Canis lupus familiaris: one gene and its partner. The protein of the gene in region 2 purifies or fractionates together with the protein of the main gene of each other region. This does not show direct contact. Links are inferred from orthologs where the notes say so. Each region holds a gene or a part of one and is shown on either strand. Other genes may lie near its edges.

Region 1 (3,774 bases), on a different chromosome or scaffold from region 2:
CCTCCTCTCTGAAGGCCACACTAGACCCCCAAAGGCTGAGCAATCTTTCCCTGTGCCTAGAATACCACTTTCTCCTACCATGCACTCACCACCAGACCAGGCAGAATAGGACTCTGCCAAGGGAGTGGGTATAAGGGAGTGGGTACATGGGGGTGAGGCCCCAGTGGCAGGAGCCTGATGAGGGGGCGGGGGGGGGGGGGGGATTAGGACTCGGCCCTGCACGGGGAAGGGAGCCTGGCATGGCAGTGGGCGGGTGCTCACAGCTGAGCTGAACTCACACTGAATAACTACTGGGCTCCCCTGCTTCCAAAGACAGCTCTGGCCCACCCCCCACCTCAGTCTCCCTCTTGTCTTCAAAGAACCACCAGGATCCTGTCACCAGCACTCAACAGCAAGGCCTGACTTCAGGGGCAGATGAACTCAAGATTTCACAACCCCAAGTGATGCATGTTTAATCAACACATTTCCATCAAGGTCAGAAAGTTGCCTTCCAGGTTCCTGAACTGTTTCTCTTCCAGCCAAGAACATCTGCTAAATTTTATCACACATGCTTTCCTCTTTAGCCTCCTTGTATAATAAAATTGTTTTTTTTTTTAAACCAAAAAATGAAGACTGAAATATGAACTTCGCTATGAAAAGGTAACTAGAAGATGCTCAATCTACAAGCACAATCACACTTCCTGCCACCTGCCCAGGCACTAGTACTGCAGACCCTCAGGTCCCTCTGGGTGAGCAAATCCCAAAGAACAGAGATGGATGATGACCCACGCTTCAGCTGCTTAGTCACGCCAATAGTTACGTCTAGAAAGGGGCCCATGAATCTGGGAAGACGATCCAATACAAGCTATCCCTGACCCGCGAGGTCTCTGTTCCCACACGGTAAAGGGCCTGTGTCAGAAGGTGCTATGGAAGACCGCACAGCACCAACTCTAGAGACCATTATCATGCCTTGCCTTGCTCTCCTCCGGTCTGAAACAGGATCGCGGTACACACAACAGTGGCTGGCAAGCCTCTCACCAAAGAGCTGGGTGGCAAACATTTTCAGTTTGTGGGCCACGGGGTCTCTCATCCAAACTGACCGCTGCTGCAGAAAAGTCATACAGACGCTAGACAACGAGTGGACTCGGCTCTGTGCCAGTTAATCTTTATTTAAAAAAATGGGCAAGGGGCACCTGGCTGGCTCAGAAGGTGGAGCACATGCCTTTTGCTGAAGTACATGGAGTACAGTGAGTACATGAGTACACACCGGACGCAGAGCCCACTTTAGGAAAACAGGCTTACTGGTAAGCTACATTTGACCCCTAGCTGTCAGTTGCAGACTTTGTACTACACAGCTGTCACAAAAACTAACCTGATCCATGGACCCCACTCGGCAAAGTGCCTGACATAGTAAGCTTCGACAAGTAAGCAGGCTCCTTATATAATTAAAAACATCTTAAGAAGGGATCCCTGGGTGGCTCAGCAGTTTGGCGCCTGCCTTTGGCCCAGGGCACAATCCTGGAGTCCCGGGATCGAGTCCCATGTCAGGCTCCCGGCATGGAGCCTGCTTTTCCCTCCTCCTGTGTCTCTGCCTCTTTCTCTATCACAAATAAAAATAAATAAATAAATCTTTAAAAAAAAAAAAAAAAAATCTTAACACCTGGGTGGGGGCAGCCCTTGGTGGCGCAGAGGTTTAGCGCTGCCTGCAGCCTGGGGTGTGATCCTGGGGACCCTGGATCGAGTCCCACATCAGGCTCCCTGCATGGAGCCTGCTTCTCCCTCTCCCTGTGCCTCTGCCCCTCTCACTGTGTCTCTATGAATAAATAAATAAAATCTTTATAAAAAGAAAAAAAAAAAAAGAACACCTGGGTGGCTCAGTGATTGAGCATCCACCTTCAGCTCAAGTCGTGATCCCAGGGTCCTGGGAGTGAGTCTCAGGGAGGTTGCTTCTCCCTCTGCCTGTCTCTACCACTCTCCCTCTCTCATGAATAAATGAATAAAACCCTTAAAAAAATAAACCTTAAAACACTAAATTTATTTTGCACAGGGGCGCCTGGCTGACTCCCATCAGTTAGGTACCAACTCTTGATTCTGGCTCAGGTGTCATGATCTTGCAGTTGTGGGACCGAGCCCACAGTCAGGCTCTGCCCTCAGTGTGGAGTCTGCTCCAGATTTCGCCCCACATCCAACCCCACCTGCGCACATGTGCACGCTTTCTCTAAAGTAAACTCTTAAAAAGAGATTCACTTTAATACAAAGCAACGGCCTATAACTTCATCTAGAAATGCTCTCACAGACGTGCACCCACACAGAAATCATCTGATCAAACACTTAGTACATGTCAACATCGAAAAATACGCCTCAGTTACCGGAAACATTAGATCCACCAAACTTACCAAATTTATTACGGTGGAAAACACTGGAAACAAGGCAGGGAACCAGCACCCAGTCCTGAGGTGTCACCCTCTCTGGGACTCCATGTCCCCCGCTTTGTCAGCAGTGGACTCGATTTCTAAAAGGTGTCCTTCAGGGCGAAGCCTCAGCCAGCAGAAACCCACCTTCTGCTCCTCCCCCCCACCCCCTGGCCCAGACCATCCATGCCTACCACCTTTACTGGGAGAACACCAGGGACCTAAGATCCAGGCCCCCCAGTTCCACCACAGCACTGGCTTCTCCAAGCCCACTTTGCTCCCTGCACTCCAACAGGGCCTCCCAGAGGCACAAATCCTCACTTTCACCCATCTCACCACAGGGGACGGCAACCAGCCTGTAAGTCGAGTTAAGCCGGCTGTCTTTTTGTATAGCCTGCAAGGTTTTTTAGAAGCTATTGCACAACGTGTGGGTAATATACCAGGGCCACACCCACTCATTCAGCTATCACGAGGCGGCATACAGGTTGCCACGTCACAACAGAACAATTGTGACCCAGGTGACCCAGTCGGTATGGCCCACAAAACCAAAGATATTTACTATCTGACCCTTTTCAGGAAAAGATCACCGATTCCAGTCTGCTATGATCTCCACTGACCCAGACTACTACTAAACGTGGCTGTGGGGAATAGCCCAAAGCACAGAAGTCAGGAGAAACAGAGGCCAGACAAGGGAACGTCCAGCAGCCGACCCCACACTGAGAAACTGCTTGTGTTCACACTATGAGCTCACACGCTTATGCTCACAAAGTCCCAGAGCCAGAGCAGGAATGACAGCCAGGCAGCAAACCCTTCACCTCCCTCAACACCTCCCACAGCCACTGTGCATTCTCCTAAGGTTTGGGGAGATGGATGAGAAGCATTCATGCCATCTCCCAAGTAGCTCCAGCGGGGCTGGAGAGGGAAGCGTGGGACAAGGCCCCCACTCACCAGGGACGTAGACAGAGGGGTTCTCCGACATGCCAGGCAGGGGTTGGTAGTCATGAGGCCTACGGATCTTCAGCGACTGGCCCTGGAAGATGATGCCATCAAAGGCCATGGCCTGGGTGGTCTCATCCACTGAGCGGAACTGAAAGAGAAGGTGGTGGTACAGTGATGAGGATCAGGGTGCCGGGTGTACCACAGCCTGCAGAAGGGCCCTGGGCAGATCAAGGCTGCTGCAGAGAAAGAACACACACCTTCTGACCCCACAATGCAACCCGCTCACCTCCAAGAAAGCAAAGTTCTTGTCCTGGTTAATCTGCACAGCCAAGACGGGGTTGCCAGGAGCCTGGGTCAGACCCCCAAGGCGCATCTGGGCGTTGAAGAAATCCATCATGGCCTCCTGCAGAGGGAATAGGAGACAGGGGGGGGGCGGGGGGAGGGA
Region 2 (4,532 bases):
TTTCACCGGTCACCTAGCAGTGTCTCTCAAAGGGCAGTGGGAGATGCACCTGCCTCAGGATCCCGTGGGGCCCACGCTGGAAACGCAGACTCCCAGGAAGACGCACTTTAACAAGTTCGTTAGGAGGTTCTCATACCCTGCAAGGTCTGCAGGAGGGTCCCACGAGCAGCGAGCAGCGCGCAGCGCAGCACGGGTCTCAAGAAAACGTCGCTCCGTACGTTGGCTTTAAATTGCGCTGCATCATGGGAAATGTAGTTTGGAAACTCCTCGGCGCCCGCCCCCGGGAGCGCTTTACGGACGGCGCCGAGTCGGTCCGGAAATGGCCGAAGGCTCCCTGGCGGGCCCTTTCCTGCCCGGTTGCATTCTGGGAAAGGGCAGTTTCCGTTATAGGTGCCGGAGGCTGAGGCGCGCCGCCGACCGCACTCCCACGTGAAGCGCTGCGCGAGCGTCGCTCTGCGGGGTCGCCCCCCGCCCCCCGCCCCCCGCTCGCCGCTCGCCGCGGAGCGTCCCGGAAGCAGCGGGGAACCGGAAGCGGCCCGCGGCGGCGCGGAAGCGAGGCCCCGAGGCCGGCGTGAGGCGCCTCGGAGCGCTGCGGCGGCGCCATGTCCCTGATCTGCTCGAGTGAGTGTGGGCTGCGGCGGGTCGCGGGTCGGAGCGGGAGGAGGCGCCCGCGGGGCCCCCTGAGGGGCAGGGCGGCGGCCTGTCAGCGCGGGGCCTCCTCCTCCGCGGCGTGGGATGCGTTCGCGCAGCGCCTCACGGTTGACGCGGCGCCTCAGGTTTATGGTCGCAGACGTCACCGAGGCCGAGGACCTCGCTCGCGCCTTGAGCCGGGGCCTGGACGGGGGGAGCCGGTGCGGGAGACCCCGCCCCTCCCCCCGCCCCTCCCCCCGGCTTTGCGGTCGGACGCGGGCTCTGCGCCTCAGTTTCCCCGTCTGCAGAGAGGGGGCGTTGCGGCGGGCGTGTGCGGGCCCGTTCGGGCGGGCAGAGCCTCTGCAGCTTGCGAAGGTCACGCCGCGCGTCAGAGGCAGTGGCGGGGCTGGAGCCCGGGGCACGACCACACCACAGGGCGCCTTCGCTGAGCCCTTGGCCGCCGCGCCGGGCCCGACCTCGGTGCATCCCTCGCAAGCCTTCTCCAGAGCAGAAATGAAGGACGGGGTGTGCAGATGAGGGCCTGAGGCTGGAGGAGAGTGTGGCACAGCCGGGTGGGGGCCGCTTTGAGCCCCGGAGGAGCCGTGGCGTTTTGGGTTTTTTTTTTGTTTTTTTTGTTTTTTTTTGTTTTTCCTGCCTTGTACCGTCTTCCCTTTCGGCACTTTGACGCGGCGCGCAGGTGTTTTCCCGTGTCCTCAGGCTGCTAGAGCATCCCTCTCGGATGTGCTTCCGAACTCGCAAGCCCTGAGCTCTCTCCTCTCCTCAGAACCTCTCCGGGAATCCAAACGGAGGGAGACGGGAAGGAAGGGAAATGAGGGCCAGGAAAAAGGAATCTTTCATAGCGAAGAAACTGCAGCTTTTGCAAGATATTTCACGTTCGTTGTTTGCTTTCCATCTCGAGGAAGTTTTTTTGTTTTGTTTTTGTTTTGTTTTTGTTTTTCCCCGCTCCCCCCCTCCCCCCCCCCCCCATATTCCCAGCACCATTCTTCCTTTTATTTGATGGTTTCGTTGGATGTGTACCGGGTGCCTGCTGGGCATCTGCATCGCGCTGGAAGTCAGACCAGCTGTAATCCCTGTCCTCAGAGGTGTGTAGTCTACTGAGGCAGGTGTGTTCGGGGGTTGCTGTGAGGATGAGCCCATCTATAGAAAATGTTTACGATCATGCTCGGCACCTGATACACCATATAAGTGTTTCTTCTTAATGTAACACTCGTCAGAGAGCTTTGTGATTTTTTTTTTTTTTTTTTTGGTCCAAAATCCATCTTGGCTCTAGACTGAGATTTGAGTAGCCGTGTGTATCTCTGTGTCTTCCAGTATGATGGGTGCCTGGGCATCTTTTTCCAAACGGAGACGGGTGGGGATTGATGATTGACCACTCCGTAGATGTGTGGCATGTGGCAGTTGTGTGCTAATTGTTGGTTGACTACCTGCCAGGAGAATGATGGAGAAGCTAGTTATGTAGCTGAAAGGATGCTGGGGATACTACAAAAGTAGTGTCGTGTCCTGCTTTCTGTTAGTTGAAAGTGGGGACGTGTGGTTTTGTTGGGGCCAGTAGCCTGTGAGGCATCGCCTTGCCCCAGGGTCCCTTTCACCGCCCCGCGCTCACCGCCTGCCTTTTCTCCACAGTCTCCAATGAAGTGCCAGAGCACCCGTGTGTGTCCCCTGTCTCTAATCATGTGTATGAGCGGCGGCTCATTGAGAAGTATATTGCGGAGAATGGCACAGACCCCATCAACAACCAGCCTCTGTCTGAGGAGCAGCTCATCGATATCAAAGGTGCCTTGGTGGCTGGCCTCCATCCAGGGCTGTTTTTGCTCAGAGCTTGAGAGGCTGGGAGGTGGCACCAGTGCACTGGAGGAGGAGACGGTGTTCTGTTAATGTAGGCTAAAGGGGAAAGAGATGGGGGACATGAGGAGTCCCCGGGTTAGAGTTCTTCATACCCGCTCTCCCTCTCTTGGCAGTTGCTCACCCAATCCGGCCCAAGCCTCCCTCTGCAACCAGCATCCCAGCCATTCTGAAAGCTTTGCAGGATGAGTGGGTGAGTCCCTGGAACAGAACTGATGTTTGTCTGCTTGAAGAGAAGGGATCACTGCACTAGGACTTGGGGTGGGGAAAGACGGAGTATTATTTTCTTTTTTGAGGGGCAGGATGATAGTGGAGGAGGAGCCTGGTTGTTGAAGTCCCACGGATCTGGGTTCCACAGTTAGCTCCCTTGCTCCCTTGCCACATACCCTTGGGCATATTGCTCATATGTGAGTCCTGGTTTTCCTGACTCTACGACAAGGATTTGTGCCAGTCTCTCAGGGTGTGGACAGAATTAGAATAAAGGTAGAGTATAAACCTTGCGACATCAGGGATTTGATTTATTAATTGGTATATCCCCAGCACCAAGGGTAGCACCTGGTATGTAGTGGTGCTCTGGAAGACGAATGAGTGACTACATCTTGAGTGGTCGTCTCGCACAGTACCCGGCACAGTGAGGGCAGTTGATTAATGGCAGCCTTAGTGTTATGATTCCCTTGTGGGGAGGTGACGGAATGACGTCGAGATTTGCCTATAAATCAGAGGCGATGAGGGTGGGAAAGAGCTGGCTCCCACTCCTGTCTGTGCCCAGTATTTGGTATGAGGTAGCAGCTCCAGAGTGGCCACCAGCACATTCATGGTCCCTCACGTGTTGTTTGGGTTACCAGTACTGGTCTAGGCTGTGGGAATACAGGGCAGTGTCCTCTTCATCTCTTGATCAAGGGCTGACTCTTCTGCTGGGTGTTCCCTGCTCCTCCTCACCCCCTCACAGTGGCGTTTCCCTTCTTCAGGATGCAGTCATGCTGCACAGCTTCACTCTGCGCCAGCAGCTGCAGACAACCCGTCAAGAGCTGTCCCACGCTCTGTACCAGCATGATGCTGCCTGCCGTGTTATTGCCCGGCTCACTAAGGAAGTTACAGCCGCCCGAGAAGGTGCCACCTATGCCCCAACATCCCCCACTCTGGGCTGGTCCTGCTTTGTAATACCCCATTTTTAATGTATTCTTTTCTCTCAGCTCTGGCCACCCTGAAACCACAGGCTGGACTCATCGTGCCCCAGGCTGTGCCGAGCTCACAGCCAAGTGTTGCAGTGAGTGCACCTCCCCCTTCCTGCCTGTCTTGCAGCCCCTGTGTGCAATGTCTCATGTGGCTCTCCTGCAAGTGTCCTGGGTGTTCTGTGCCTCCCTCACCTTTAACCTTCTTGTCTTCAGGGTGCAGGTGAGCCGATGGATTTGGGTGAGCTGGTGGGAATGACCCCCGAGATTATCCAGAAGGTAAGTTGTGGGAAGTCACTTGGTGGGAATGCTGGTGGGCCCTCATGTCTCACCATCTGCCTTGAATCCAGTATGAATAGAAATCCCACCCATGTGGGACTCCCAGCAGACCAGTGCAGCGCACAGACTCAGGCCACACTGCCCAAGTTCATGCCTCTGTATCACTGCTTAGAAGCTTTATGACCTTGGGCTGACTTAACCAAGTCTGTATCTCATTTTCCTTTTTTTTTTTTTACATTGAGAAAAACAGTGTCTGCTTTGTAGATCTATGGGAATTTAAAAGATTGTAATTACCGATAAGTGCAACTTGTAGCTCTTACTGTTAGCGGGGTATTGGGGTTCTTTGCATATCATAAAACACTGGTTACATTTTCACATTTTTTTTTCTCTGATGGAGACAGAAGGTGAATTACCATCTTTAGTTTACAGATAAAGAACTGACACCTTTGACAGATTCAAAGGTACAGGTCACAGAAGGCAGAGCAGGCCAGATATCAGGGCCAGTGCTGTGTTGTGCTCACAGAACTTGTGTCCGGTCCATACTCTGACTGCATCTCCTCTCTCTTGGTGGTATAGACTTGGTCTGGT

The links. The genes of interacting proteins can lie anywhere in the genome.
Region 1: the proteins of PRPF19 (region 2) and U2AF2 purify together in Homo sapiens (affinity purification with western blotting; 3 studies listed by BioGRID, with this or other methods). This does not show direct contact. The link is inferred for Canis lupus familiaris from reciprocal best matches to the Homo sapiens genes PRPF19 and U2AF2.

What each region holds. Positions count from the first base shown.
Region 1 is NC_049222.1:102,847,298-102,851,071, forward strand, and holds part of U2AF2 (splicing factor U2AF 65 kDa subunit), read right to left. Parts: intron 3,733-3,774; coding exon 3,616-3,732; intron 3,478-3,615; coding exon 3,339-3,477; intron 1-3,338. UniProt on the Homo sapiens protein: Plays a role in pre-mRNA splicing and 3'-end processing. By recruiting PRPF19 and the PRP19C/Prp19 complex/NTC/Nineteen complex to the RNA polymerase II C-terminal domain (CTD), and thereby pre-mRNA, may couple transcription to splicing.
Region 2 is NC_049239.1:55,998,054-56,002,585, forward strand, and holds the start of PRPF19 (pre-mRNA-processing factor 19), read left to right. Parts: upstream 1-1,645; 5' UTR 1,646-1,660; coding exon 1,661-1,733; intron 1,734-2,274; coding exon 2,275-2,424; intron 2,425-2,609; coding exon 2,610-2,686; intron 2,687-3,461; coding exon 3,462-3,603; intron 3,604-3,686; coding exon 3,687-3,760; intron 3,761-3,881; coding exon 3,882-3,944; intron 3,945-4,532. UniProt on the Homo sapiens protein: Ubiquitin-protein ligase which is a core component of several complexes mainly involved pre-mRNA splicing and DNA repair. Required for pre-mRNA splicing as component of the spliceosome.